Mus musculus: one gene and its partner. Each later gene encodes a partner of the first gene's protein in a complex. Links are inferred from orthologs where the notes say so. Each region holds a gene or a part of one and is shown in the gene's direction. Other genes may lie near its edges. The genes, in order: Cyfip1 and Abi1.

Region 1 (16,822 bases):
ACAACAACTCTGGTGTTCCAAGAAATGATTCTGCCTTTGAACCTTTCTGACCTTGTGGAAGGAGAAGCAGCCTCAGAGATTTTTGAGATAACAAGCCAGAGGCTCAGCAGCTAAGGGCACTTGGAACTCTCCAGAAGACCCAGGTTTGGGCCCCTGCACTCACAAAGACCGCTCACGACCACCTGTAACTCCAGGTCCAAGAAACCAGATGACTCTGACCTCTGTGGCCACCCACACACATAAGGCATATACTCATAGGCATACACACACAAAAATAAGATATTGTAAAAAGATTTCTGAGACCCCCTTGAGTTCTTTTCCCAGTTCTGAAGATCAGTGTTGCTGTTAATTCATTCAACAAGTGTTCTACTCTTAAGAGTTTTTTTTTCTTTGCTGCTGCTTAGACAAAACTGGATTTTCCAAATCACAGAGCAGCTGCCCTCAAGGTGGCACTCATTAGACCCTTAAGCTCTTTAAGTATATGCCCAAATCACTCCCTTTGACCTTGTTTCAAGATGTACTGTCTTCTCGGTATACTCTTATTATTTACCCGAGGTCAAATATTTGGGGCTCTCTCATCTTGAATTTCTAGCCTTGGATGCTAAAGTTCTAAAACCTGTTTAAGAGTTAATTCAGTTCAGCCTTCCATTATGGTAATACAAACGACTGTGTGACTAAAGTGTGCATGGTTTTCCTTTTGGTACTGCTGGGGATGGAACCTAGGGTCTTGCACATGCTAGGTAGACATCCTACAACTGAACTACAGCCTCCACAACAAAACTGACTAATATAGAAGAACAGAAAATTGGTACTCGTAGTGGAGCTCTTTAAAGACGTGGAAGCATCTTTGGAACTATCACAAGTGCTGATCCAAACAGCATTATAGACACAACTCATCCAGAAAGAGACAGGTAAACTAATCTCCAAGGAAAGACCTTGTTGGAGCATTGTGGGAGGTAACTCAGTCACTACAGTATTTCCCTAGCATACTCAAGGACCTGGGTTTGATATAGACCACAGGATACACTGGACTTGTCAGCATATGCCTACAATCCCAACACTCAAGAAAAGTAGGATTAGGCATTCATCATCAAACACATAAATCCTTGGAGAATATATTCAAACCATTTCCAGACCACTGTAGATAGCCCCACTAGCTGCTGAAATATTAAGTTTACATGTACCTATAAAAGCTACCAAAACACCAGAAGTAGGAAAGTATTCAATCTAAGGGACTAAAAAAATAGGATTTTTAAAACTAAATGTGGAAGACTGTTTTATTCCTAGGGTTGAAAATAAGAGAAATGTCTACCTGATTTTTCTATTCGGTATTATACCAGAAATGGTACATGATACACAACAAAAAAATTCAGATTGGAAAATAAGTGAATTATTCATAAATTGTATGGTTTTATATATGAAATAGAATATGCCTTCCCAGTGAAAAGTCAGTCCACCACTTAGAGATTAATAAAGGAAAAAACTCTAATAGTGCATGTCAGGTCCTGGCTAATGCACAACAGGGAAGCAGAAATCCATCTGCATGAGTTTCACATAGACAGGGATTCTAAAGTTGGGTTGTTTAAACAAATAGTGATATTTAAAATGTAAGATATTACCATAGCTTTTAACCAAGTTCATCCTGTCTGCCTGGCAGAATTAAACTCTTTCTGATATGAGGACCAGAGAGCTTCTTTAAATTCTATCTTGTATAACAATATTAGTAATATTAGTAATTTTATTATTACTAAATATTGGTGATATTAGTTTATTATTTCCAGTTTTGCCTATATTATAGCAATAATTACAAATCAAAACTTTTTAAGTATCAATAAGCAAGTGTTGTGTGACAAATTTGAAGAAGAGGAACACAACACACATGGGTCTAATCGCCCCAGAAAGCAAAACTACACTATTGGTGCAGCATGATTGCACTATAAAGTCCAACCAACTCCGTTTCTGAGAGTGCACAAAAAACCACTTGAGCAAACATCCTATGGCAACACCACCCCCCTTAGCATAAGCCAGTCAGACTACAACAGCAGGGTCAAATACATATAGACAACCTAAGACATCCTGCAGAAAATAGATAACCTACCCACCCTGTTCCTCGGATGGTTTTGCGCCCATGTTTGGTTCCTGCAGATTACACCAGAAATGCAATTTTTAAAATACTAACTTGCTGACTGTATGGAAATTTCCAAAGCATACTGTAACTACAATAAACACCCTGTACCCCTAGAACTCAGGACTCTCACTTCTGACCCACTGTGACAGTGATGGTGAGAGTCCTTGTGCAAGAGCCGATAATAAAGGCTCTTACGTGTTTGCTTCGGAATTGGCTCACCAGTGGTCTTTGGGGTCCCTGCACCATGGGCATTACAACACCAGAAATGAAATCTGAAAGATAATTTGTTTAAACTCCACAGGGGCAAATTATACTCCAAATCTGTTATATAGATTTCAACTTTAATTGCAAGCCATACCTCTCTCGATTTCTGTGTTACTTTCTGTTGCTGTGATAAAATGCTATGACCAAAGCAACTTAGAGGAAAACGCATCATTTGGTATACAGAGGATTTCCTCATCCCTTGGGGCAACCAAACCCTGGGGGCTAGTATTTAGCAGCACAATATATAGCAACAGCCCACCCTCCACGCACCAATATTTTTTTCCTTTGGTGGGATGGATCTTGAATTTCTTCCTTTTCCGTGATGTTTCATGTACCCAACTGCAATTGTGGTTTGAAATACAAGACAGGCTTGTAGTTGTAGAGGGGATACTGTCCATCACTGTGGTAGCATGCTAGCAAGAGCCATGAGGCTGTCCAGACAGTCAGGGAGCAGAGGAAAAACATGAAGTGAGATCAGGTATAACCACAGAGCCCACCCCCAGGGACACATTTCTTCTAGCAAGGCTACACCTCGTAATGATTCTGTGGAGTCTACAGTGTAGACTCTTGTGCGTGTGCTTTTGAAGCAGTATCATCTAGAGGCTCCACTGTGCAAACACACAAGCCTGCATAGGCTCCCTATCTGGGATGAGTAGATGTAGGTTGCATCTTCTCAGGAAGAGTCCATCACGTAATATTTGGCTATTCTTCCCCAGATTTCTATAGGCATTCGTCTCAGACTGTAAAGATTTTGAAGAAATAAACTGCCATTGCTGGTTTTTGTATACACGGGCCCAACTTTAATTACTCAGGACTTCCTCTGCTCCTTACACCTAAGTAGCCTCTTGTCTATTAATTTGATTTGAATTATTAATACCATCCTGTAGACTCCTTACATAGCTTGTGTAAGAATTGCTGAAGCCGAGGTGAAGATGGTAAGCAGTGTGACTGCCTTTGTTTGCTTTCTCTGATCAATGCCATGATCACAGGCAACCAGGGGAGGAAAGGGTTTATTTGGCTTTCATGTCATAGCCCATCGAGAGAAGTGAAGGCAGGAATCTGGTGTCAGGAACTGAACCAGAGACTGGATAACTCCACTTACTGACTTGCTCCTCATGGCTTGTTTAGCTTGCTGTTTCACTGCACCCAGGACCACCTGTCTAGAGGGGAGCCATCATAATGGTTGGGCCTCCCCCATCAATCACTAATCAAAAGAATAACCCCATGGACTTGCCTACAGGCAATCTGATAGAGGTGCTTTCTCAATAACGTTCCCTCTTTCCAGATTACCCTCGCTTGTGTCAAGTTGACCAAAGAATAAATATAACCAGGACAAAGACCTCTAAACCAAATGTGTAGTCTGGAATTACAGACAATGGGTTGCTTCAGGGTATATTAAGAGGAGATACAGTTGATACCTGACGTTACAGATGGCTGACACATCCAGAGCTACCTTCTTTACACTGCTGGTTTGGACAAAGCAGGTTCATTTGGTTTCTATAGTACAACACTTTATGCCCAGTTCTGCAGGATTGCAGGTAATTATTTGAGACATTCTGATTACTTGTGGGTCATTACAGGGTTCATGTCCATTTACTAGATCACTGGTTATAATGGGACAGAAACTGCTACATTGACCTTGGTCTCATGGAGAATTTAACCAAAGGTGGATCAGAAATACTGCTGATTGACTGTGAGTTCCTACTCCTCCCTTAGTGGATGTGGCAATGACCCTTTGGGTCCCTCCATTTCAGTATGGGCTCTGGATGCACCTATATTGCCTGAAAATTGAAGATGTGAACATTCCATTCACTAATTTAATCAAGTTATTAATTGATATTTACACTACATATCAACACGTGGAATACCTTACGTTCAATCCATATTTTCTTGTACAATGTATATATATGTATATAGGTATATGCAAATGTATACATATACATACACACATATATAAATATATATTTGCTTATATATTTGTATATAATACATATATATTTGCTTTAATTTGTTTTATATATACAATATATATATGCTTTAATTTGTTTGGTTTTTTCCGAGACAGGGATTCTCTGTGTAACTGACATGGCTGTCCTAGAACTCATTCTGTAGGCCAGGCTGGCCTCGAACTCAAGAGATCTGCCTGCCTCTGCCTAGCAAGTGCTGGGATTAAAGGCGTGTGCCATCACTGCCTAGCTATAAATATATTTGTATTCTTCACTAAGACAGGAGAAAGGGAGGGAGATAGTGTTGCACTTGCCATAAATCATGGGAACAGCTGTGACAATCTCTAGTCAGTTTACATAATTTCAAACCCATTTCCAGTTACAAGCAAAGAGTTCTTTAAAATATACTTGTGCATTTCACCTGTGGGTGTGTGGGACTTCACCTTTAGTATGTTCTCATATCTGCTGGCATTGAAACACACTGGTGGGTTTTCTACTAATTATATTTTGAAGAATTATTTTCCCCACAAAAGAGCTTTTATTTTCTCTCAGCACAAAAAAAATTTAAATCTCGTGTGTATTCAATAATAAATAGGTCAATTTTAACCTTCATTTCCACTTGAAAAATTCCATTTCATTTAAAAGTTCTTAATTTTTTAAAAAAAGATTTGTTTATTTTTACTTATTTATTTACACTGTAACTGTCTTCAGACACTCATCAGAAGAGTGCATCGGATCCCACTACAGCCACCACCTGGTTGCTGGGAATTGAACTCAGGACCTCTGGAAGAGCAACCGCTGAGCCATCTCTCCAGCCCTCACAAATGGTTTTTATTTTTATTTTTTTTAGTATAAAAAAAGTTGCATTGATGAAATATTGTAAAAACAAATCAATCTGTTTTTCCTCCCAGCCCCTGCTCCCAGAATGATCACTGTGAGACTAACAACTTTTTAATAAATGCCTAGGCCACGAGCATTGGCTCAGTCCCTGACTAGATTGTAACTTATCTAACCCTTTAAACTATTCTATGTCTCACACACTGTTAGTTACCTCTCCTCCAGTCCCAGCCTGCTTCTTCCTTTGTGTCTCCTCAGCTTCTCTCCCTCAGAGACTTGCTTGAATCCTTCACAGTCCCTCCCTATGGGTTCCTTTTATATTCTCACTATTTCCCAGAATCTCCTCTCTTCTTGCCAGTGTCCCATCTCCTATTTGCTGCCTCAGCTCATTGGGCATAGGCATTTTTAGTGACAGGTGACACTGAGATTCTCTCTACAGCATATAATGATATAATTCAAATTGCTTGTCGGATAGTTAAATGCCAGTATTGAATCTTAATCTCTAGATTACAGTTCTGTGGAAGCAGGGGAACATTGTCAAGCATGCGTTTTGTATTTTTGCTGCGCCAAGGAATCAACATGTTACATTTGTATTATCATTATAGTTTAGGTTTTGTAATTTTTATTATACTCTTGTTATGCATATGTAGAGAAGCTACAAGGATTATACTTTTGAATAAGTTTAACATCTCACATTTTGTGGTAAACCTAAGATGGTGAAAACACTGATGTGTGTCTGTTGTAAATACAATTACACGAGTTTTATTTTTCTGATATTAAAAGTTACTTAGTAAAGATTTATTTCTGTTAAGTTGGGGAAAACAAACTGGTGTGGGAGTTAGGCATGTTGGTGAATGCCTGTGATTTCAGCACTTGAGGGATGGAGACATGATCTGGTGTTCAAGGCTAGCCTGGGTTACATTAGTTACTGTCAGACCCCAACGACAAACAAAATGTCCAAATTCTTAGCAGTAAGGAGGGGCGTCCGGAGTGAAGAAGGGTAGGAAGTTTGGAGCTATTCTACTAAGTTCAGCATTAAGATGTATGTTAACTAACTTTTCCCTTCCTTTTCTGCGGGTTTAGGGAGGGCAAATTCAAGTCAGGTTTTCTGTTGTCAGCCATTCCTAGGAGTCTGAACTTGAGTTTGCCAGTCCTCAGAAGGCAGATGAGATGGTAGCACTGTTACTTTAGGGGCCAGAATGGGTTCTTCCTTGGGTCTGGAGCATTTTACATGCCGCTCCAGCCTTGCACCCACCATTTAATACATACATGCGCCCCTTCTCTGTCATGGTTGTACCTTCTGTATCTCTTTTGAAGTTCAACCAGAGGCAGGACAGGAGGCAGTGAAAATTTGGGGGACATGCGGAGGAAGATAAGCCCATCACTCATGGATTTACTGAGGCTTCTCACCATCACTGAGGACAAGTTATAGGAAAACGAATGTTGAATTCCTATGGCCCATGTATGGGCTCACTGGCCCACACCCAATTGCTGGGGGATCCAACGCCCTTTTTGGACCTTTGCGGGCACCAGGCACTCTCGTGGTGCATAGACACACAAGCAAGCCAAACATTCATACACATAATGAATTCCTTTTTTTTAAATTTTTTTTAAAGTATCTTTAGTAAAACTTCCAGCTCTATGCTGGCTAGTCCTGGAATTCTTTCCTCATTTGGCCTTAGCTTCAACAGAGGTCCCCCAAATCAGGGAAAACTCTTGAGGCTGGTGAGCATGGCAGTGTGGCGCTGAGTCTTCATCCTCTCCCAGCCGGCTTGACGGGTGGAGCCCACCAAGCAAATCCCGGCTTCCTTTGCTGCGGTGACCTGAGCAGCAAGCGGCAGGCGGGGCTACGGTACGGGAGACTTGGGGAGACTTGGGGGCCGACCGGGCTGGCCTAGAGGAGCCGGACCCAAGGCAGCCAGCGGGAGGAGGGAGGAGCGCCGGGAGGAAGAGGCCGAGCCGAGCAGCGCCGCCCCGGAGGAAGGGGAGGAGGCCGGGTGTTTCCTGGTGCATTCCCGACCCGCCCAAGTGACTCATTGGGGTAGGAAAGCTCCCGGGGCCCGCCCTGGACAACCGAAGGCGGCGCAGACCAGGTAAGGGCGGTCGCCTGGCCTCGGGGTCCTTGCTCCACTGTAGTCCGGTGGGGCGAGCCTGCAGACGGCCTCGGCGCAGCCTCCGGGACCGCACGGCCTCCCGGGATTGCCTCCTGGGCTCTCGAGTCTCCCGGTCTCTGCACGGCAGCTCCGGAGCCCGGGACTCCCGGCCCAGCTCGGCGGCTCCAGGGCTCCCTCCCCGGAATCACATTCCAGAATCCCCCGGCCACGGGCTTCCCAGTGCAGATTCCCTGTTCCCTCCGCGCTGCACAACTTGCACTCCGGTGGCCCGGCTCCCGCGTCCCGGACCCCCGCGTCCCCGAACCCCCGCCCCGACTCACCCTGGATACTAGGATCCCAGATCTCGCGCTTCCGGCACGAGGTTTAGCTCCAAAGAGGAAGAGACAACGTTAATATTTAGTATTTTACTATTGAAAAGTAAGGAGCGACGAATAGTTTATGTTGCACTAAAGTGGCAAAACAACCCCGAGTCCACCATGGTTCTGCCTTCAGAGGAAAGGAAGGAGAGTGTGGTCTAGGGAAGCCGTCCTCAGATTCTTGGAGAGAGGCATTTTGGGCTTTGTTAAGGAAACGGGATTGTTCAGGAGCAGTAGTGCGCCGCCGCACATTCGTAACGAATTTTGTACTTTAAGCCTAAAGCATCTGCGTAATTTGTAACATTTCGTGAGTGTGAGAAAAGAAGGAAGAGATATGCAACTGGGGATCGGTGAGGGCGAGGCAGAGGGAAGCATCGGGCAATCCGTGTGTTGCATGGGGGAGCCCAGAGATTTCTCTTGGTTGTCGGCTAACAGATCGCTTAGTTGAGTCGTGTTTGAAGCACCGCTGGTACTGGGGTACTCCTACAGGTACTGATACTGAGATCAGCGCTTGCCAAGGTGGGGGTATTGATCCTAGACCCTGGCCAAGTTCACTGGCTGGAAGTTGAAGCACGCGAGACCGGTGGTATACCTGAATACCAGCCTTCCCCTAGTTCTGAGTATGTTAGTGGTTCTTATTAAAAAGCCTACAAGCACATAGCCTGAAAGAATTAATTCAGTTTTTAAATACATGTAAGTTACTGCAGACATGCATTGTAAGAATTCAGTAGGAATGTTGCGGGGAATACTTCTCTTTCCCTCTTCCCCTAACAGCATCTTCCCTGTAACCTTGATAAAATGCTGCAGTTGAAAAGTCTCTCTAAGAAAATACATCCTCTAAGTATTTGTGTATTTGAGGAAGTATGTATTAAGGTTTTTTTAAAGAATAAACACTGTATGTGTGTGTTTGTGGTATGTGTGTTTTTAGATGTGGGTGCACAGGTGTGTGAATGTGTTTGTATGTGCATGTAGAGGCCCGAGGCTGATTTGGCGTTTTCCACCTTATTCTTTGATACAAGGTCTCTCAGCTGAACTTAGAGTTCACTGATTGGACTAGTCTTGCTCGCCAGTTTGTTTCGGAGGTCCCCTGTCTCCGCCTTGGAAGCAATGGGACTTGAGGGAGGTTGCCATGCCCATTGTCGTTTATGTGGGTTCTGAGATCTGAAATCCTGTACGGCTATCCACTGAGCCATCTCCCTGGCACTTAAGCGTGTTTTTAACTTTACATATAGTAATATTCATGCTTTGGAGTGTTGACTGCCACTGTAATTAAGATGCCAAACTGGTTCCTATCACCTCAAGATTTTCTTTCCTGTGTCCCTTGTAGTGAGGTCTTTCATACCATCAACTCTTGGCAACTGCTGATCTTTTCATAGTGCTATTTTGCTTTCTCCAGAAAGTCCTGTGGCAATCTTGGAGTCTGCATTTAAGATGGTTCTATGTTCTCAGTAATAAGTATGGGGGTGTTGGGGAGGGGGTGGCTATATTTAAGGCCGTCCAAGGTGTTTTACCAGCCAAACACCATTAAAGTGAAAAATTAATGATTTTATATATATATATATATATATATATATATATATATAATATTATTTGGTTACAAAAACACTAGTCAAATATGTCTGTAAGAAGTAAAGTCAGTGCTTTGAAAAGTAGAGCCTTGGGAAGGTGGGGTGGCATGCAGGGAGTATAGGTGCATACAGTGGGTATAGGTGGCACACAGTGAGCATAGGTGGCACACAGCAGGTATAGGTGACACACAGTAGGTATAGGTGACAGACAGGTCTGACAACTTGAGTTACAACCCACAGTGGAAGGAAAGGACTAACTCCTGAAAATTGTCCTCTGACGTCCACAAGGACACAGTGATTTGTGCCGAAATACTTACTCTCTCTCCCTATGAACACACTCCATACACAAATAATAAATAAGTGTTTTTTTTTAAAAAATGTAGTTCTGGATACAACCTGGAAGACTAAAACGTTCTTTCTTCTCTCTTTCCCTTTATCTTACCATTTCAAAAAAAAGCAAATTTAAATATGTATTTGACAAGTGTGTGGTTGTTGTGGCCTGCATGAGTTTGTGTGCATCACATTCATCAGAAGTCTGTAGAGACTAGAAGACGCCATTGGATCTCTTGGACCAGGAGATATAGGCTATTGTGAGCTTCCATGTGGGTGCTGGGAACTCAGCATAGGTTCTCCTGAAAAGCTCCTAATTGAAGAGCCATCTTTACCCCTCCTGAGTTTTGAGACAGGGTTTCATTCCATGGCCCAGACAGCCTTGAATTCATGGTGCCTCTACATTAGCCTTTTTGTGTGTAGGGAGGGGAAGGGGCTTGAGGTTGGGTCTCCCGAAGTCCTGGTGGGCTTGAACCCCTGATTCTCCTGCCTCCACCTTCTGAGTGCTAAGACTGGAGGTGTGGATACCACCACCTTTCCTGTCTATCTCAGCTCCTTGAGTGCTGACATTACAGAAATAAGATACAACCTAGCCTGAAATAGTACTTTTAAAGGTGAGAAAATTTACAAACACCACCTCAACAATTTTTTAAATAGTTCAGAAGTATATACAACTGTATGTGTACTGAAGCATTCTGCCCCGACTTTAGCCTCTTTTGTTTGAATCGGAGTTTCTGTAACACCGATTGCATTCCAAGTGTTATATATTTTCACTTATTGATGCTCAGCTGGAATTCCTTAAATGTTTCTATTTACAGAGAGTTCAATAATTCTTGTTTTGTTTTTTTTGTTGTTGTTGTTTTGTTTTTTGGTTTTTCGAGACAGGGTTTCTCTGTGTAGCCCTGGCTGGCCTTGAACTCAGAAATCTGCCTGCCTCTGCCTCCCGAATGCTGGGATCAAAGGCGTGCGCCACCACACCCGGCTGAGTTCAATAATTCTTTCTATTGATTGTATAATACAGTCATGTGTTGCTCAAACTATAGTGATATATGCTAAAGTATATCTGCACAATTCTATCCCTGCATCAGAGTTTAATTAGACAAATGAAAATAGGTACAGATGTTAATTACATCATACAGTTCTAGGAGTGCTGTGATAACTGACCAAAACATTGATAGGCAGTGTACAACTGTCGTCTTTAGTGTGGGTGTGTTATAATGTATTTGATCGGTCTTCTGGGTATTTTTCTGACACGAGTGTCCGTGCACCACATGTGCACCTGGTGCCAGAAGATGACATTAAATGCCCTGGACTGGAGTTGTAGATGATAATGAGCTGCCATGAGGGTGTTTGGAATTGAACCAGGGTCCTCTGCAGCAAGTGTTCTTAACCACCGAGCCATCTCTTCAGCGCCTGATATTGTGCTTTAACATTTATCAACACTCCAGTTGATCTTGTGTCAGTATCCTTGAGTACATGCTCAAGGACATCACTCTGAAGGTGACTCACCGTTGTATTGGTGTGAAGAGACGCTTGGGCAAAGGCAACTCTTATAAAGGAAAACATTGAATTGAGGGCTTGCTTACAAGTGTCAGAGATTTTAGTTCATTCTCATGGCAGGAGTATTGTGGTAGGCATGGCACTGGAGCAGTAGCTGAGAGCTACATCCTGATCCAGAGAGATGGAGAGGGGGAGGGAGAGAGAGGAGAGAGGCCTGGCATAGGCTTTTGAAATCTCAAAAGCCCCTGTGACACATTTCCTCCAGCAATGTGGCACTTCCTAATCCTTCAAATACAGCACTTCTCAGCCTGTACATTGAGGTTCCTTTGGGGACTGAACGAGCCTTTCACAAAGGTTGCCTAAGACCATTGGAAATATTTCCATTGTGATTCTTTTTTTTTTTTGGTTTTTTGAGACAGGGTTTCTCTGTATAGCCCTGGCTATCCTGGAACTCACTCTGTAGACCAGGCTGGCCTCGAACTCAGAAATCCGCCTGCCTCTGCCTCCAAGTGCTGGGACTAAAGGCTTGCGACACCACGCCCAGTTCTCCATTGTGATTCTTAACAGTAGCAAAAATTACAGCTGGGGGTCAGCCCAGCATGAGGAACTTTATTAAAGGGTGGCAGCATTAGGAAGGTTGAGAACCACTGTTCTAATCCTTCTCAAGTACTGCCACTGTCAGACGAGGGAGCTCAAATAGATGAGCCTCTGGGGACCATTCCAGTTCAAACCACCAGGGAAGGGAAATTGTGCTCACGTTCTTAAGACATCCCATGTTTCGTGCATCTTTGTAAGCCAGTGCTCCCTTTCTGGCAAAGGTGCAGATTGTGAATAGTCTCCGTTCTGTGGGCCTTGTTTATGTGCTGTAGCATTAGAGCCTCGTGGAAAATGAGTGGGTGTGGCTGTCTGCCAGGGAAATTCTTTATGTAAAAAGACAACGTCCTGTAGTTTGCTGACTTCTCAGTTCACGTATTATTTGCCCAGTCCTTGAAATAGATGCAGCTGTTATTTACCACACTTGGTGGGTGGGTGAAGCATGGACAGATGAAATAGTCCAAGATTAGATGGAAAGCCAGGTGTTGAGTTCAATCATTAGGTCCTTAAATTTGCCAGTTTAAAAAAATTAGAAGAAAAGGTACAAAATACTGTCCTCTAAATGTTGGACCCTCAGTCATCTGTTGAATCAGTATTACAGCAGGGTACCTTCCTGGCTTTAGCTAACCTCTCAGTCCCCATCACCCTCAGTGTCTGTCTCAAACAAGGTTTTTGATCTGTTTCACTTAGTAGCAACTGCTAGGGATAAATTAGGGTTCCATTCTTCTAGAATATATACAGGTTATAAAAAAAGAGTTATTAGATTGGTTTACGATTTAGGAGCCAGATAGTTCAGTAATAATTGTTTGCATGCTATTTTCTTTTATAATGTTTTACATCGTGCAACTTTGTTGAGAATTCTTTTAATAACTGCTTTACACAAGCAAGGATTTTTCTCCTTGTCACCTGTAGCTGCATGTGTTGACTGGGTTGTAAGGTACCTGTATGCTTGAAACTGTTATGTCACAGTGCTGGATTGTGATTGACTTTCATAGTGCCTTCTCATTCCTACCCTGCCAAGGCCCTGGCTAGTCTGGTATCATTATGCAGTCCAGGATGGTCTCAGACACACAGTCATCTTCTTGCCTTCTGAATGATGGGGTGCCCAGCAAGTGCCACAATGTCTGGCTATGTTTCTTTTAGTAATAATTTTTTTTATTTTCAAGTTCCTTTTTCTGTATCAGGCTAGTCATTGCCATTATTTTTGGGTTTTGCTTTTCATTTTGTATCTTTGCATTCTTCTGACAGGGTCTTACTATGTAATCTTGGCTGGCCTGGCACTTACTATGTAGACCAGTCTGGCTTTGAACTCATGGAGATCCACTTGCTTCTTTTCTTCTGCCTCCTGAGTCCGAGATTAAAGGCTTTTTGCACCATGCTTGTTTGGTGTATCTTTTTCCATTCTTTTGTTTCACTTCCTTAGTGTCTTTAAAATGTGTTTCTCATGGCTCCTTTGAATTTTTTAAAACCATTTTGAATATCTCTGCCTTTCAATTTGAATACCTTGTCTATTTACATGTAATGAAAATTAGGTATTATTATGATTTTTTTAAGCTATTTTACTATTTGTTCTGTTTATCTGGAGAACTGATGGCTACCAGTAGCCTTTGTAACACAGGTTACAAAGTATCTAATGGAAGGCTTCCAGAATACTTTAAACACAACATTTGTATCTGTAATATTTTTAAAAGATTTTCATTAACAGCTTCTGAGCAGATGGTCCCAAAGAAACCATGTTGTCCTTCAGCTTCTGGGAAGGTGGCAGGGAGCAGGGGGTGGGTGAGCCCTGCAGAAACTAATAGTTCTTCCTCGTTGCTCCCCAGCCAATGTTAATATGCTTGCTTCTTCAAGCCTGGCAGTGACGGCAGAAATGGTGGACATTGAACTTCGGCTCCCAAAGGTTTTAGTTATGAATGAAACAGATGGACAATGATAGCTATAATGACCCTGAATCCACAATGCCTGTGGTTTGTATTCACACCACATCCATTCTCCTGGCCAAACTTGTCAAGTTCTTTACTTTGTATTCCCCAAGCTCATGCAGGGATTTTGTTCCACAGAGAAGAAAAACTGATAGTCAGAAAGCAGTGGTTTCCACTCCTGAATGTGGTTGCTTGTAACCTTGTCCTGGCTAACACAGCTGGCAAGAATATCGGATTTCTTCTTCAAGCCACTCAATGAAAGAAGACTTTTGTTTGAAGAATTGTCAGTGGGAACACAAGTTAAGGCACAGGTCCACACTGAATCCCCTTAATATTTGGGGACTCTTGACTCAGGTAAAACCAGTTCTTTGCCAAAATATCGAGACTGGCCAGCATGAAGCAGATGTTGTAATTTATTAAAAGATTTATTATTATTATTATTATTATTATTATTATTATTATTATTAAGTACACTGTAGCTGTCTTCAGACCCACCTAAAGAGGATACCAGATCTCATTATGGATGGTTGTGAGCCACCATGTGGTTGCTGGGATTTGAACTCAGGACCTTTGGAAGAGCAGTCAAACCACTTAACCACTGAGCCATCTCTTCAGCCCAAAAGAAAATTTTTACATGGATGTTTAGTGCAAGAGTTAAGAGAGACATGCTTAGTTGCCTTTACAATAGCCACACGACATACAGAGAGTTAGGATATCTGTACTGTAAACAAAATTAATAGTCTTTTTTTTTTTTTTTTTTTTTTTTTTTGGTGTGATTCCCAGGCAATATCCAGGACAGGAGTGAGGCTTTACTGTGCTGGTTGGTTTGTCAACTTGACTAACCTGGAGGGAGCCACCTGAGAAATGGAGTTACAGTGAGAGAGTGTCTGGATCAAGCAGCAGGCAGGTCTATAGAGGATGACATCAACTGCCAATTGATGCTGGAAGACCTAGCCTATTATGAGTGGCACCATTCCCTATGCAGGAAAGACGTAGACAGAGAAATCTGACGGAGAGCAAGTGAGCAAGGGTCCATGCGTTTATTCTGTCTCTGTGCTTGACTGTCCATGTGAAGCTTTCCGTTCTTCACTTGATCCCCCTGAAGCAATGGACTGTAAGCTGGAATTGTAAGCCAGATAAGCATTTTCTTCCCTGAGTTGTTTTTTGCCATTGTGTTTGTCCTAGCAAGATGAATGGATTTAGAACCTCTGTTGAAGGTCATACACATTAAGCCCGGTTAGCTGCTATTCTAACATAAAGGAAGCCTTGTCTCTATTTCCATAACCTTCACAGCAAATGTGCATTGGGCTGGAATTCTTGAATTTCAGCTGGTGACTCTGGAGTGAGGGTCTCTGTTCTTATGCACCCGTATGTAATTCAACCTGCCTTTCTGTCCTGCCTCAGAATCACATACCCGGAGCCTTGGCGCTGCAGCAGCACTAAGCTGCACCCCAGCCTAGAGCTCTTCTATTCTAAAGCATGTTCTTTTGTTTACCACCCACAAACCATGCAGCAGCCTCTACAGAAGCAGGGAGCCGAAAGCCACTTCTCCTCTTGGCTCCCCGGGGTCAGCTGCCTTCAGAGATCTTTGACTGTGCTTGAATCTCAGAGGCTGTCGGAATTCAGCTTTGTTTCCGTCCCACGCACCAGACTCAGAAGGATTTTGTACAGACCCATTTGCCTGTTATTGTTTGCTCTGATTGCAGGAGTCGGGGCCGGGGGTGGTAATCAGCGTTATAACTAGAGTTCTCCAGAAAAACAGAATAAATGGGGTATACACGTGGGCCGGGGGAGGCAGACAGAAACACTGAGATCCACTTTAGGGAGTTGCTTCACACAGCTGTGGAGACTGGCAGGGCCAGATTCTGCAAAGCAGTCTAAGCTGGAACTGCACAGAATACTTAAATGCTGCGTGCAACCTGAAACCAAAGACCACACAGAAGCAAAATGCCCTCTTTCTTGAGGGCTGTCAGCATTCTTTTTTTCTTAAGACCTTTAGCTCATTGGATGAGATCCATCTAAGTTGGGGTAGTCTGCTTTGCTTAAAGTTGACTGACTTTAATATTTATCTCATTTAAAGATTATCATCATAGCTATGTCTAGACTAGAATTTGACTTTGACCATAAACTTCCTAGATAGTTGTCACAGGGGTGAGTCTTGGTATTTTAATAACATGTTTTAGAGAACTGCCGTCTCCAACAGAGATCAGGTCAGTGTTCCTTTTGTGGGGATACACTTAAGTTGCTTGTCTTCTGGAATCTAGCTGAGAAGAAACTGTACCTCTTATACATACAAGCTATGAGAAGCTGTGAACCCCCACTTCCCTGCCCCACTTTTTTTGCTGTACACATCTTCCCTAGTCATCCCCTCTTCCTCTTCTGTAGCTCATGTGTCCTGTCGTTGCTCTCAGCAACCCGGTCACTTCTTTTCTACTGTCTCCTGGGCCCATTTCTAGTTCTCTCGGTTCTCCTCACACTTATTCTTCCCCCCACACAAACACTCCCCCCATTCTAGCACCCCCAAGACACGGTTTCTCTATGCAGCCTTGGCATTCCTGGAACTTGCTTTGTAAACTAGGCTGGCCTCAAACTCAATGATGTACCTGCCTCTTCCTCCCAAGTGCTGGCGTTAAAGATGTGCTTGTGCCACCATAGCCTGGGCACACGTATAGCCTTTAGAAGCTAGGATATCCGTACGTGAGAGATCATGTGGTATTTGTGTTTCTGAGCCTGGGTTACCTAACTTAATCTAAGGATTTTCAGTTGTTCATAGTAACCGTGGTTGTCTGCCCAAAGCCTGCCCAAGGGTAAGCCAGCCAATCAGCCTATACTCGTACCTGAGGAGTTGTGGATGGTTAGTGGATTCTGGGGGAAAGTCATTTGCTGTAAGGTATGTTGATCACGTTCCAGTGGATGACCCCACCCCCAAGAGCATGTGGGGAGCTGAGGCTCAAGACTGTGTGTTATTTAAAAAACAAACAAACAAAACAAGAAAGCTAGAGGCAGGGCAAGGAGGTGAGGGTGAAACCTAGTGGGTGGGTTGGAAGTGAATGTAATAAAAACCCCTTATATGAAATTCTCAAGGAACAAGAAAGGAATTTGCAGCTCCACTTTGCTGCAGATTTTGCAATTTTATTTTTTAATGGCTGAATAAGATTCCAATGTGTATATGTGGCCTGTTTTTGTTATCTTTTACTCTGAGAATGGGTGATATCTGGGCTAATTCTTTTCCCTGGGTGTTTTGAAAAGAGGTGCAGTAAGGA
Region 2 (16,146 bases), on another chromosome or scaffold:
AATTTTACATATCTGCACTTAACTCTTGTAGCTGATAGATTACAAGTTGCTGCAGTTACTGGATTATAGATGGTACCACTAAAAGTTAAAGAATTAAATCTAATTATTTCTAATTTCTTCTGGTGAAGGACCTTTGAACTTAACACTATAAGAACACGGAGAAGACTCTTTATTAAATACAATGTGGTCCTATGTATGATTTACAACAAACTTAATGGGATTTTTATTTGTGATTTATTTAGATTGACAAAAACTGGCAGTTATTACATCCAGTCAAAGGACTGGGCTGAAGGTGGAGATAGGAAGTGGAACATGGAAAGGAAATAGAGTGTGACTGGGCTGCTGTGGTGCTATCTTTTGGATTATTCTTTGAAAATTTTTGCAGCAGCCCAGGTTTCAGATAGCTGAGAATGCTCTGAAGTAACTTTATCAATTGGATGCATTCAAATTGTCTTTAAGTTGGGAAGGACTAGACTGAATGCTAATACAAAGAATTCTAGATCCAGGCTGGGCAGTGTGTGGCATATACAGGAGGCAGAGGCAGGCAGTCTCTGTGAGTTCAAGACCAGTCTGGTTGATGTTACACAGAGAAATCCTGTCTCAACTCCCTCCCACACCCAAATTTACATTCAGTTTAGAAGTACACAGAACTTAAGATAAATAATGAGGTGTCTCTTATGAGAATTAATTTAGATGAAATTAAACTGAAAATATTTTTAGATTATTTTTTTTAATATTTATTTATTATATGTAAGTACACTGTAGCTATCTTCAGACACTCCAGAAGAAGGAGACAGATCTTGTTACAGATGGTTGTGAGCCACCATGTGGTTGCTGGGATTTGAACTCCAGACCTTCAGAAGAGCAGTCGGGTGCTCTTACCTGCTGAGCCATCTCACCAGCCCTAGATTATTTTTCAAAACATTTATGTATACTGAGGAAAAGGAGAGGGAAGGAGATAATACAAAATCCCATGGATATAGAAATCACTGAAAGAAAGTCTGTGAGCCTGGAAGATGATTGTTGAAGCCACAGTGGATAAGTAAAAATGCAGACAGACAGCTCACCTTGTTGGGGTGTGTGGAACTGGTGCTATACTGCTGGTGTTTGTTGATATGCTTGCTCCCTTTACCAAAACCCCTTTTGCTTACTAATCAAGGTAAACAGCATCTTTCAGTGTCAGTCTTAGGTACTAACATCAGAACATTATTTCTCAGAAAACTCTCTGTTAAGTTTGTGAGGTCAAAGCTATTACATGTCTTTTTCATCCTCATTCTGTCAGAATTTTTTTTTCTAGAGGCTCCGTGAAGTCTTTGTGTACTTGTATATAAATTCACCTTAAAGCTGTGTCAGTTTGAATATGGTCATTTCATGTAGGTGTAACCCACTCCAGGGACACCTAATTTTTAGTTTTTAAGAGTCGACTTAAAGAAAAAAATGTTTGCTAACTGCTTACTTAGAGCACTAACTTTCAGAGCAATAGTCCCAAATTGGTTATTAACGTAGAGGAATTAGGTAGAAATTTCAGTTTCAGAACTCATCCTAGATCTACTTTGTTAAAAATCTCCGAAAATGGAACCCATAAATTTCCATTACAACAAGCTCTCAAGGGGAGATTTTCATCAGTGCTGAAGCGTAGGGAAATTCAGGGACTATACTTAGCAGTGTTCATTCAGAAGGAGTGATAGTTCTTAGTGTTAGAATAGTACCTAAATACAACCTAAATAATTAATAACAGTAATTACTAACAGTTATAAAAATCAGAAAAATATACTTAGCAGTTTAAATTTTATTGTTTACTTTATTACTTATCCTGAGCTTTTTAGCCAGATAGAATTTTAAATCAAATTCCGAAACTTGGCTGTGAAGAGGAAGCTGTTTATAAAGCAGTCATGAATGACCCACAGCTAACAGCTAGTGCCTTACTCAGACTGTGTGTGGTACTCATTTTGTTGGAGCCAGTGTACATACAAAAGCTTTATACACTTGTCCTTCATCCCCTCAGGTGATTGATTCTTGTACACCCCACCTCCAATAGATACAAAATCCTTAGATAACTCAAGTTCCTTAATCAAATGGTGTAGTACTTGCAGACAACTTACACATATATTCCTTTTCATATATTTCAGATTATCCCTGGGTTACTTACCATACCAGAGTAGTTGTTCTCGCGCATTGTCTAGTGAACATTCTGAAATGCACATGTAAATTACATATAGCATTAGCAAAATAGCATTCAGGACTATGCTTATTGCAAAGGATTAGCAATGCTCAAATGGTCACTTTTGTAGCTCTTTGCACTAGCTGTCTTCTTGTTTATATACTTTAGAAGTGGAGATAATTTGATTTTCATCTTCTTTTTTTATTTTATGTCTGGGCATTCCAAAAAAAATAAGAACCCCCTCCCCTCTGTCCTGTCACTTGGGGTGTTTGTAATGCTTTCTTGGTTGCCTTTGACTAATGCTTTTCAGCAGCCCCTGGCGCAGCTCCTGGTTCCCAGTATGGCACAATGACCAGGCAGATTTCTCGACACAACTCTACCACTTCTTCGACATCTTCTGGTGGATATAGACGAACTCCTTCTGTGGCCGCCCAATTCTCTGCTCAGCCTCATGTTAATGGAGGTCCACTTTATTCTCAAAATTCAAGTAAGCTTGTGTTTGCAGGCATACAGCAATAGTGGAGCTCCTTTTTAAAGGAAATTATTTGAAACTGTTATTCTTGACTGTGATAGACAACAATTTAAGCCATGCTATTTCATGCTTGTTTTTGCTTTGAATGTTAATCCTTGAATAACCATCTTAAATATTACTGCTTATTTATTCTCCAGGGTTCACTCAAGTATACTTAATCTACCAAATTCAACAAATATTTTAATGTGCTATTATTAGTATTACTACAGTATAATTTGAACTAGAGAACAAAACAATCTTAAATTTTATCAGCATGATTTTGATGGTTCAGTAATGGTACGAAGACACAAACACAGCCAAAGAACTTTTTAAAGAATTTAATGAAAAGAAATTGCTGGCTATCACTTCTAAGGTTGTGACCTCTTTTGAAATGCTTTCAAATGAAAACATTTACAATGCCTGCTTACTTTCTCTTTCTGAATAATTCTAACAGGTGGGAGGGATTTTCTTTTGATTTCCCTTTGTTTACTTCAAAATACACATCTCAGTACTAATTACAGCCAGTGTTTAAAACCTTTTACAGAAAATAGAGTTAGAAAGGAAAGGCTTGAATATCTGAGGATAATCATTGAGTTCACTTTCCATGTTAAGATACTAAATTCAGAACAAAAATAGTTTGAAATAAGCCTGTTGTCCAGTATTTGTTTTTGTCGTGAAGTTACTGGGTGTGGCTGACAGGTTTTTCTATGGCAGCTTCATTTTAAGTATTTCTAGAACTGAATGTTCTATAAAAATAATGGTGACTACTCTGCATTACATGGGATTTGCTTGGCTCTTTTATTTGTATTCATATTACGTGCATATTTTTGGTTTTTGCTTGTTTGTTTGTTTTTTTTAAAAGACAAGGCCATACTTTGTAGCCTTGAAATAGCTTTGAAAGTTAGTGCTCTAAGTAACTGGCCTGGCACTGCTTAAGTCATACTGGCCTTGAACTTGCAGCCCTCCTTCTTTTTGGGATGATAGGCAAGCACCACTATGCCTAACTTAAGTAGAGGCTAATGGTCTTTTGTTTAAAATTTTGAGTTAGAGGGTAACTGAGTTATAGCAAATTGAAAACCATTTTGTCTTAAATGTCTATATTTACAGAGAACCTCAGATTTTATACAGCTTTTTTTCCAGACCTGAATTTCCAGAATTCAGGCTACTATGAAATAATAAACTCTTGCCTGCTATTTTACTTCACATCCCCCTTTGTTGATATTGAGTGATAGCCTCAGTGTCTGAATGCTCTGTAACTCAGTCGTTTAGGTGGTGGTGGTTGTTCTGTTTTGTGGAGATAGGTCGTTCTGGAACGCAGTATGGCGTTCAGGCTGGCTTTGAATGTAGAGATCTACCTACTTCTGCCTCCTGAATCCTAGAATTAATGGCATATACAATCAAGACAAATTAGTTGTTTATTCCACTAGTGTCTGAACTTTCTTTTCATATTCTGCTTTTTCCATCCCATCTTTATGATCATTATCTTCCCTCCCCCACTTTGTCTTTAAATTTATTCTGCAAATAGGGTTTTTAATTTCACCAATCTACACTTGTCTAGTTTCACACATGTTTGTGGGATACTTCCTTAGTAAATATCAGTATTCTTTTTGAAACTGGAAAGGAAACTTAGCCTGGGGTGTAAAGCATGTTTTGTTTTATCCATTTCCCCTTCAGTCTGAGCTGCTGGTGCAGGTTACTGGTACGTGGCTGTGTTTAGTGCTGTGATGTGCCGCTTCCTCTCCTTATATGTGCTGGTGATGAGCATCTTCATAGTAACCTCCTGTCTCTTCTCCCACAGCTAACGAGCATGGCTAGTCACTAAGGGCTCTTTCTTGAAACTATTTTGACTAATGGGAGGCTTTTTTGTTTTAAAATCAATACTCTAACCATTTAACAAGTGTTCTCTGTAACAGAATGAAAACCAGTTTCTGCTAGTAAATGGAATGCTGTTTTTAGATCTGTATGAACTATCAGCACATATATATTTCTCTAACTTTTAACTTGGAACGTCTATCACATTTTTATGCTTACCAACACATTTGTACCTTGGATTAAAATGATAAATATTAGGGACCAATAAAGTTGTTTTTCTTGGATAATGTAACATCACTTAGTGGTGACCACTGGGAAACCGATCTTTCCACTTGAACCCATTGACTTGTTGGATCTTCAGCAATTACTGTCTTGTTAAAGAGACAAAGTAAACATATCTTTGCTTCTAGTTTGTGGCAATCTTTCATATATTTGTTAGTCATAGGAACATTTGATACCAATTTCTTATAAAGTATCTCCTGAAAAAGGTTACACATGCTTCAAGCCAGCCAGTATCTGGCTGCATTATATTAATCAGAAATGAATATAGTACAAATAATTATACATTTTGACTGATTAGAGAGATTAAGTTTCCTTTTTCAGTATCCATAAAAAGACCATATTTGATAACTTCCCCTCAGAGACTGAATGATTAACTATTAGGTACATGGAACACTCTTGTCCCTTAGTAAGTTCAGGGCTGATTTCTTACAAATAAAGCTGGCAATTTAAAAAGTAACAAATCTTACTTTTGTAAGAAAATATTATCCAGAGAAGTATGTAAATTTAGATATATAAGCACTTTCTTCAAAGGTAACTCATGATTAATGCATTGATTTATCTACATATTTATACATGTAATCAACAGCTGTTAAACATTATTTGGTTTTAAAAACCAAATAATGTTTAACAGCTAGACAGGTCTGTTAGTTTATAGACTTAAAGCAAAACAGTTTGTTGGCAGGCTCTGTAGATGTTTAAGTGTAACATATTTTAGAAGTTTTTCTTTGAAAAGCATTGTGCTAAAATAAATGTTACAGTAAATTAAAAAGTTCCCCAAATAATGTAATGCTAGGTTAAAAGTAAGTATATTTATTATTTTATGCACTTATCCTATGGCTGAGCACAGTGTGGCCTTAGGTTCTGTGGGGACAAAAACTTGAAGAGGGTAGCAGGGTTTGTTTGTTTGTTTTTGTTTTGTTTGTTTTCATTTGCAGACTGTTCTTGGCATACTTATTTATGTTTGTGGTCCTTGTAACTGACTTCTGCTTTTTGTTTGTTTCCTTTTCTTTATCTGTTTTACTCCCCATACTGTGTCTTGCTGCCAGTTTCTGTTGCCCCTCCTCCTCCCCCCATGCCTCAGTTGACTCCACAGATCCCTCTCACAGGCTTCGTGGCCAGGGTGCAGGAAAACAGTAAGTCTGGGAACACAGCCGTCAGAGATTAGAGGCTGTCTCCTCTAGCATGCATGGCTGCTGAGTCACCATTTTCCTTCTTACTGAGAAGCTAATCTTACCTTGAAGAGTAGGTACAGTTATGTGTTACTGAAACGGAAGAGCACGGGCTTCTGTTCTTTTCTCTTGTCTGCATGATTACTGACCCATATCAATTTCAAAGCTGCAGTTTGCTTAAGTATTTAGATGATCTAAGCTATGAGATCTATTGTATATTTTTAAGCAAAGAGTAAGCCCAAGAAGGCAAATTATGTTGAAATAATAGTTACTAGGACAATTAGAAAACACTTTGCAGCTGGGTATGGTGGTGCATGCCTGTAATCCTAATTACCTTTGACATTACGGAAGATTCTATGTGTCCTGAGTGAATACTGTATGGCAAACGAAAAGTACAATTGCTGAATAATTAAATGTCAGTCATTGAAATTAAGATAGTATTTAGTTCCATTTTACTTCATTTGGAATCTTCTTAGAAATACATTTCAGAATTGTTTTAGAAATGAGCTACTACTTAAGCAGCCCATCCTCAGTACAGTAAATTTTTTGCAAATTCTTTGTCAACGTTTACTGACTCTTATAATGCTTCTCTCAGTCCCTCCCTTCCACCAATCAAATATTGTTATGCAGTGTTATATGATAGGTTCTGGTAAGAATACAAACAAAAAGTTTAAGACAGTCTCTTCATGAGAGCTTATTGCAAATGTGGATTTAGAGTTTTGAAATTTCTGAGTGCAAACCCTCTTACTATTAACTTCAGTTTCTTAAGTTTTGATGTTCTAAGCAATACCCAAGGCCTTGTACATGTTAGTTGAGCTGCTCTAAGTCTGAGTTAAATGAATGACATTCTCAGTTCCTGGGTTTTGGAGCAGATCTCCTGTTTCACTAAGCTGGCCTTTCAGCCCTTCTGCCTCAGCCTCCTGATAGCTGGGATGGCAGGTGGGTTTATCATGCCCAGAGATATTGTCGTTTCGTGATGCTGATACGGTTTAGAAACTAAACCTGTCAGAGGTGGAAGATTATACCAGTCAATATTTTTACACTGCTTCATCATGAAGAGTTCTAGGAAATAAGTTTAATAGCCATTGAAAAATCAACTTTGTGGGCCTAGAGATCATTGGCTAACTGATAACTGGAAACAAAACCCAGTGTTCTTATTCATTATTCCCAAAGAGACACCTTGACACAACTATTTCTGTTCTTTTTACCAAACACATGAAACACATGATATTGAGCTCTTTTTTTTTTTTTTTTTTTTGGCTTTTTGGCTTTTTGGAGACAGGGTTTCTCTGTATAGCCCTGACTGTCCTGGAACTCACTCTGTAGACCAGGCTGGCCTCGAACTCAGAAATCTGCCTGCCTCTGCCTCCCGAGTGCTGGGATTAAAGGCGTGCGCCACCACGCCCGGCTCAAATTCATTATTCTTACACCACTGCTATTCCAAGTTTATTTTCAAGTTTTTCTAAGCAAGTTGAAATTAAGAAATTGTGTATCAGCACTTTAAATATTTTATCAAGTGTACATATTTTATGTGCTTTTTAAATGCCAGTGTTCTGATACTCAGAGGAAGTGACAATAAATGCATGTAGCTGTAACCCAGTCTGGTTTAAGATATGAGCCCCTAATGACTCATGCCTTTTATTATTTAACATCAGATAGGCTTTTGGACTAAATATGCATAGTGTTAGGTAAAGTACTAGGGCAGAAAATTGGGTTGATCAGATTTTTGCCATAAAATTGAAGATAAACCAATGTATACTTAATGGCAGTTGAATGGAATCTTCAACCAGTATGTTGTAGAAATGAAGAGTGACAGCTCTTCAGGGAATCAAACAAACATGTACTATACACATTAAGCCAATTTAGGGTGTGTGCTCGGCCTGTTCATAGCCACTCTTCCACATAAACAAGCTTTATGGAGGAGGTGTAGGTATAGGCAGATGTTTCGTGGATCAGTGCATGTAGTAGACAATCTAACTGTAGACCTGTTAGATTGTTGTGAGTGAGCATCACCAAGTAGAATTTATTTTTTATTGTCTTTATCATCTCAAGGATTAAACTAGAAAGCACAGAATTGAAGCAGAAATGAAGCAGGACTGTTTTCTGCTTGCTTTAAACTAGCCTCTTGCTTAGATCTCAACTTACTGTCCTCAGTCAGGAACAATAACCTATAAAACCTACAACAGTTAATACAAGAACCTTTCCTTTTTTCTTCCTCTCACCTAAAAGACAAGGTTCTCTTTGTGTAGCTGTGGATGGCCTAGAATTAGCTGTGTAGACCAGACTTGCCTTGAACTCAGAGATTCCCTGAGCTTCTGCCTCCCAAGTGCTGGAAATAAAGGCATGCACTACCTTCCCTGATTTTTCTCCTCTCCCCTAAACTTTTAAAGGAATTTGTGGAGTAGAAGTTTGAGCATTAGTTGTGTTAGCTTTGAATGTTTTAATCCCAGCCGCATTGGTGGCCAAATAAGTACAGTTCTAGTCCCACACACCCATTTTCCTGTTAACACCTTCAGTTCTTTAATGCATGTGTACACATACCCCAGCCATCTAGAATCTGAAGTGTGTTTCATTTTTGTTTGTTTATTTTTATTTCTTTTAAAATTACTGCATCTTCAGTATTTTATGTTTAAATCTTAATTGTGTTTTAAGTTAGAAATTGGATCTTTTGGATCTGGTATCATTTCATGCATTGTTTTATTAGCCATAATGCAAAATCTTAGTTTCCTTTCTTCATTAAATTTTGACTGTGAATATAACTAATTTGTTTAAAGATACTCCATGCAGTCTTCTCATTTGGAATTATTTTTTATGTTTGTTAAAACGTAAGTAAAAACAGAAAACAAACAAACAAAACCCTACACAAAACATTTAAACATGATATGACCAACTTGGCTTTACTCTTTATTAAAACAACAAATAAAAGATAGGTCCACTTGTGATGTAGTTTCTAGGGCACTAAAGCTACCAAAAGCCAAAATTGCAGGCCTGACTATATACATCGTAAAAACTGTCAGACCTCTACTATAAGAAACTTAGGGGTATTCCATGACAGAGTCCCCTCGGGCAACAAGGCCGAGCAAGGGGAGCATTTGTTTTCACTTGAGACTTAGGATAAAGAAACTTCTTTACTCCTGTAATTCTAATGAAAGAAGATACTGTATCCTCTTACATTCATTAATGTAGTATTTATATGCTTATTTTATCTCATTTTATTGTTGCAAAAATTGTGCTTAAAATTAAAAGTAGTATAAACTTTAACACACCCAGCTTTTACTTCTAATCACTGCATGTTTTATATAGTGCATGCTATATGAGTTAGAATTGTTAAATTCTGTTAATTTAAAATTGTTCCTTTAGACTCATTACTTTCTGAATCCTTTTAGTTGCTGATAGCCCAACTCCACCACCACCCCCTCCACCAGATGACATTCCCATGTTTGATGACTCTCCGCCTCCTCCGCCACCTCCTCCTGTGGACTATGAAGATGAGGAAGCTGCAGTAGTTCAGTATAGTGACCCATATGCAGATGGGGACCCTGCATGGGCTCCCAAGAACTATATTGAGAAAGGTGAGGTACTATTTTCATGGGTTGATGTAAAGTACAGTAACCTAATTAGAGTTTTATTACTGTTTTAAAAAATGTCTCAGCCAGTGTTTCTTACCTGTAACTGTCTTACCAGTCAAGGTGGTAGCTCTTACTATGTATACTTTGTGTTTTTCAGGAGTATGAAAAGGAGACTATTTCTTTATACTTTGAATTTAAATTGTTAGATGCATCTTTTCAAACCATGTATGCTTCTAGCTTCAGATTAACTTGCTTGCCTGTGTTTTATAGATCAAACATTTAAGGCACAAAATTGAGCTAAATGACTTAACAGTTATTTATGATCTTAGTGATGATTTTAAACGTTCCCTCTGTCCCCACATCTTACCTTGCCCCTCCCCTCTCCTTTCCCTCTCCCTCTTGTCTCCTTTTTTTTTTCTCAAGACTGGGTATAGTTTAGATTTAGATTTTGCTTGCTATATTGACTCAACAGGTTTGTAGCTCAAAGTTTATATGTGTGTGTGTGTGTGTGTGTAGATGTAGATGTAGATGTAGTGTGTTCAGTAAAACTTTATTTACACAAATTGGTAGTGGAGAGATGGAGAAATGGTTTAGAGTTAAGGGCATTTCTTACAGGTTCAGTTTCCAGCACCTACACAACACACACCCATCTATTACTATAGTTCTAGGAGAACTGATGAACTCTTGTGTTTGACTTCTGGCACCAGGCATGCCTGTGGTTCAGATATAGATATACAGACAAAATACTCATCACAGAAAATAAAATTTAAAATACATAAATATAAAGAAGGAATGGTGATGGGTTAGATATGCCATTGGGGTGTGTGTCTGTGTGTGTGTGTGTGTGTGTGTGTGTGTGTGTGTGTGTGTGTGTGTGTAAATCAAGTTAATTTAGCAGGATTTATCATATACCTGAAATCACAGCACCCAGGAGGCAGAGGCAGGAGGATTATTGCAAATTTTACATTAGCCTGGTGTGTGGAGTGATTTTTCTCAGCCTTCTGCCATGGGCAGACAAGATCTAGTAGGATTATTGTCATACTTAAGGGTGCTGTTGTTATGGTAAAACAACATGACTGAAATCAACCTGGGGAAGAAAGGTCTTACTTCATACAGCTTGTAATAGAAGTCAGGGCAGAAACCTACAAGCTGTAGAGGAATGTTGCTTCTCTTAGCTTGATCAGCCTGGTTTGTTGTTTGTTTTTCTTTTGAGTTGCATCCAAGACCTGGGAGTGGCACCATCCAGAATGGGCTGAGGCCTCTCACATCAATCAAGAAATGCATTACAGATTTACAGGCCAATCTTACTGAGACATTTTTTTCAATTCATATTCCTTCCTCCCAGATATGTTTCTAGATTGTGTCAAGTAAACCAGTATGCTTACATTTAGAAGTTTTAATAACCACTTTCATGATGACAAGATAATGAAACCTGTTTAACTTGGCTAATAAGTTTATGACATGACTATTTCAAAAGCCTTGTTCTTATTGATACTGTATCTTTAACCTAATATATGCCGATGTGATACTGGTCTCTGTATTAAACTAATAGACAAATCCCAGAAAGCCTTCACAGTAGATATAAAAGGGAGAGTTTGAATAATAGAATCAACATCAAGTTATTAATGGTAAATAGTGGTGAGAGAAATTACATGAGGGAGTGTGTACATTGACATGAGACCCTTACACTTACAAAGGAAACCTAGAAAGCAAACACAATGTGTTTTAGTACTTTTCTGAGCTGTTTGCATTAGAGGAACTAAGAACTTGAAGTAGTTTTTTATTCTGCTCAAAGATATGAATGCTTTAGGCTTTTGTTAGTCTACAAGACTGAATCTCATCACCCTGTGACTCTAGATACCAGAGTATTACCGAAGTTAAATTACCTATGGAGCTTTTCTTAATAATTGATCTTTTGCAATCACTTGATCCTTTTTGCTAGTTATCTTTTTTTAAAATTTTTTATTAGGTATTTTCCTCATTTACGTTTCCAATGCTATCCCAAAAGTCCCCCATACCCACCCCCCCACTCCCCTACCCACCCACTCCCACTTTTTGGACCTGGGGTTCCCCTGTACTGGGGCATATAAAGTTTGCAAGTCCAATGGGCCTCTCTTTCCAGTGATGGCCTACTAGGCCATCTTTTGATACATATTCAGCTAGAGTCAAGAGCTTCGGGGTACTGCTTAGTTCATAACGTTGTTCCACCTATAGGGTTGCAGATCCCTTTAGCTCCTTGGGTACTTTCTCTAGCTCCTCCATTGGGAGCCCTGTGATCCATCCAATAGCTGACTGTGAGCATCCACTTCTGTGTTTGCTAGGCCCCAGCATAGTCTCACAAGAGACAGCTATATCTGGGTCCTTTCAGCAAAATCTTGCTAGTGTATGCAATGGTGTCAGCGTTTGGAAGCTGACTTTGATAGTATTTAATTATATTTTTTCAGTATATTTTAAAGCTTCGATAAACTATGGAGATCATAATCACCATACTGTGATTTTTGTTGCAGAGCTAAAATGGAAGGAAATGGGCTTGTTGAATTCATATACTACAGTGTATTGGAATGAGAAAAGACTACCTGGTTAACTTAATAAATGGTGGTAATCAATCAGTACTTCAAATCTCTAGTTCACCAAGTTAGAGTTACTAATGAGGCAAGCCATCTTTCTTAGGGAAGAAAATAATTCTGGACCATCATAAATGTTTTAAAGATTTGTATTTTAAGAAAAATACTGTTAAGAATAAATGAAAAATAAAATCATTCATATATTAGTCACATATAGTAGAAAATTACATGTAACTTTAGAAATATAAAAAAATGGGTTTAGCGGGAATATTTACATTTACAAATCAATAGTTAAAGTAGTATGCATCTGTCTTAGTCACAAACATCATAACAAAGAAGCAAGTTGGGGAGGAACGGGTTTATTCAGCTTACACTTCCACATTGCTGTTGATCACCAAAGGAAGTCAGGACTGGAAGCAGGTCTGGAAGCAGGTAGGGATGCAGAGCCCATGGAGGGATGTTCTTTATTGGCTTGCTTCCCCTGGCTTGCTTTCTTTTTGTTGTTTTTTTTTTTTGTTTTGGTTTGTTTTTTTGGTTTTTTGTTTTTTGTTTTTTCCAGACAGGGGTTTCTCTGTGTAGCCCTGGCTGTCCTGGAACTCACTCAGTAGACCAGGCTGGCCTCGAACTCAGAAATCCACCTGCCTCTGCCTCCCAAGTCCTGGGATTAAAGGCGTGAACCACCACTCCCCTGCCCTGCTCAGCTTGCTTTCTTATAGGGCCCAGGGATGGCACCACCCACAATGGTCCCTCTCCCCTTGATGACTAATTGAGAAAATGCCCCACAACTGGATCTTGTGGAGGCATTTCCTCAACTGAAGCTCCTTTCTCTGTGATAACTCCAGCTGTGTCTAGTTGACACAACACCAGCCAGGACAGCATCTAAGTTGTTTTCCCTGCTTACAAAATGGAAAGATAGAGTATGTTAACCAGAAAGGAAGAAGATCTCCAACTTCGTCACACTTTCTGGGGCTTCCTTTACTTTTGCCAACTTTTAAAACAAAACTTTTAAAATGAGCAGAATTTTTTTTTTCTATTTTAAAATCTGAGTTTATCAATTAACATGGGATTTTGAATATATAGATTTATTACCCAGTAAATGTGTGATATGGTCAAATTAAGACAGCTTGAGTTGTTATTTAGTTTACTGAATGGCTTTGTTCATAATACATTAGTAACCTGGCAGTTTGCTTAGATACTCCACATATATTTGTCTGAATGAATAGAAATACTGACATAATGCCTGGTTCTGTGGGAGTGTAAGCCAGTAGTGCTCTGGTCTGAGACCACTCTGAGCTAAATAGTGAGATCAGAAAACCAAAAATAAATCTAAAACCACCTAAATTCAGAGATTTAAAAATTATTATTACTCCATTTGTTTAATGTGGAAGGACATATGCCACTGTGTGTGTGAAGATTAGAGACAGCTGTTAGCTGCCTCTTCTACCGTGTAGGACTCTAGGGCTCAAATTCAGACCTTCATGCTTGGCACTTGTTTTCAAGCTGAGTTATCTCACTCACCCTCAGGTGTTTCTTAAAGAGAATTTAGTAGGAACCCAGTGTCTTCTTTCGTGTGGCCATATTGTCAATGTGGTCAATATGTCGGGTAAGTGATTTAGGGACTTGATTGACCATTTACTTATACCGATAGAAAAATTAAGTCCATCTGGGCGGAGGCAGCAGCTGTACCTTTAATCCTAGCACTTGGGAGGCAGAGGCAGGTGGATCTCTGTGAGTTTGAGGCCAGCCTGGTCTCCAGGACAGCCAAGGCTTTTTACACAGAGAAACTCTGCCTAGAAAGACCAAAAATAAATAAGTGAATAAATAAATAGACCAAAAATAAAGAAGTGAATAAATAAATAAATTCCCACTAAAAATACTTAGTTTTTCTAAACTAATTAATTGGCATTACATTTTAAAAGTAAATGTTCAAGATAGTATTCTCATGTTATACTTTGTTTCCTCCACAGTTGTTGCAATATATGATTATACAAAAGACAAGGATGATGAGCTGTCCTTTAAAGAGGGTGCAATCATCTATGTTATAAAGAAGAATGATGATGGCTGGTTTGAAGGAGTTTGCAATCGAGTGACTGGACTCTTCCCTGGGAACTATGTTGAATCAATCATGCACTATACTGATTAGTTTTTCTTTTTTCTTTTCATGTAGGTTATTACTCCGTCATACTGTGGGATTATATGGTTAACAGAATTGTTTTAATGTTTAAAATGTGCCCATATTTTCAAGGACATGTTTTATTGGTATATTTGGATGTCTACCTGTAAGCATAAATTTTGGAGGCAGTTCAAACATTGCTGAGCAGCAGTTTATATGCCTATAATTGATTATGCATATGTACTCACACCTTGCTAAGTTTATGACCAGCCTAAAACTTCTGGGGATTGGGTATTATGTTTAACAAATCATGGTTCAGAATGCACCATTACATGTTTCAGTGCAGCATGGTCACTAACATTGTGTCAGACTAATAGGAAAAAACAGAAAACGTCAATGCTGGTGCTGGTCATACTTTTGGTTTCAATTCTCATTTTTAAAAAAATACTGTGTTTAAAGCATGCATAAATTTTTATGTATTGAAATATACTTAACAATTCAAGATGCTTCCAATTTGTGTAACGATTATCTGGAGTACTCATACTTGAGTCTCCTAAGCTCTCCATGTGAAATGAAAGACTATCTGTAATGTTGTAATTTGTATCTAAGTTTTTTAATGAGTGAAATTTGCATTATAAATTTTTCCATTCATAAATACATAAGTGAACCAAAGGATTTTGGCCTCTCCTTTACTGGTTTGCTTTAATTATGTATGCTAGTGCATATGCATGCACACCCTCCCACCCCTTTAAGAAAGATTTATTGCAGAATTATGGTTCTATTTTCTCAATGCATCAGTTTTGAAAATATTTTTAGCTTAATCTTAATGTGTCCAAACAGTCAATGTGACAGAATTTTGCAGATTTTGGAGCTAGACTGTGTCAGAGTAAGCACATGATATTCTGGGGGCAACATCTGAAGGAGGAGTGCCACACCGGTCCTTTGGATTTTAATGAAACTGAATTTACATTGACTCAGTGAAAGGAAAATCCTTTACATATTGTAAAGATGGATGCAGTTCATTTGTGGATAGGCATATTTAATCCATTCCCTGGCACTAGAAACATAAAATTTTACAATAATTTTGAAAGAAACTAGGCCATGTATTAATCTGTAAACAGGTAATAAGCAGGTTTGTATTGTAACTTTGATGCAACACATGCACTTTGTGTGTCTCCTTGATTCAAGGGAGGGTGTGAGGGATACTTCTCTTGTATATAAGACTGTACTGCTTAGGATATTAAAGTAGATCACACAAGTGTGGGTTTCTATGTACTGAGGGTTGCAGATTTATGACAGCATAGTGATGAGAGCAGTGCAAAATATTTCTGAAAATTAAAGACCATTGTTCCTACCAAATCAATGATTCCATATATATTTTAACCTTTGTTATTTTTGAAGTACTATGTCATTAGCAATCAGATAGCTTTTTATTATGCATTTCCTTTTTGAAGCAAAATGTTTTCTTCATTTGTAAATAACCTGTTGTCTAAATTTTATCTAGTCTTTTATAATAAACTATGCTCCTATATGAAAAATTTGGATATTGTTAAAGTATAACTAATGTGGATTTAAATAGTACAGACTTCAAAATTCTCTGACCTTTAATCCTATGGTGAAACAAAGACAAACCACTTGAATTTTAACGTTGATTATTTATTTGTGTAATGGCTTTACATGTGGGCATTAACAGTGTAAACAATACCACATATAACCATCAGGATACCTCGATTAGAATTTATAGGACTATAATGACACTGGTTTAATTACATTTAAAAAGTTTTCCGAAAAACTTTGCCAATAAAAATTGCCCATCAATAAGGTTGAAATTATTTCTTAAAATGATTTTTGGTTTTCTGCACATGAAGCAAATAGTGTTTCACAAAATCATTAGGCACAGTCTGGTAAAATAGCTGCCAGAAAGAAGAGGAGGAATTGTCATTTATCTCTGGTGAGCACACTTTC

Evidence for each region.
Region 2: Cyfip1 (region 1) and Abi1 share a complex: the UniProt entries of both Homo sapiens proteins name them as parts of the WAVE2 complex. The link is inferred for Mus musculus from reciprocal best matches to the Homo sapiens genes CYFIP1 and ABI1.

What each region holds. Positions count from the first base shown.
Region 1 is NC_000073.6:55,835,040-55,851,861, forward strand, and holds the start of Cyfip1 (cytoplasmic FMR1-interacting protein 1), read left to right. Parts: upstream 1-7,031; 5' UTR 7,032-7,268; intron 7,269-16,822. UniProt on the Homo sapiens protein: Component of the CYFIP1-EIF4E-FMR1 complex which binds to the mRNA cap and mediates translational repression. In the CYFIP1-EIF4E-FMR1 complex this subunit is an adapter between EIF4E and FMR1.
Region 2 is NC_000068.7:22,939,937-22,956,082, reverse strand, and holds the end of Abi1 (abl interactor 1), read left to right. Parts: intron 1-2,471; coding exon 2,472-2,648; intron 2,649-5,812; coding exon 5,813-5,899; intron 5,900-9,321; coding exon 9,322-9,507; intron 9,508-14,035; coding exon 14,036-14,211; 3' UTR 14,212-16,010; downstream 16,011-16,146. Other genes in the region: Pdss1 (decaprenyl-diphosphate synthase subunit 1), read right to left, coding at 16,120-16,146. UniProt on the Homo sapiens protein: May act in negative regulation of cell growth and transformation by interacting with nonreceptor tyrosine kinases ABL1 and/or ABL2. May play a role in regulation of EGF-induced Erk pathway activation. Involved in cytoskeletal reorganization and EGFR signaling.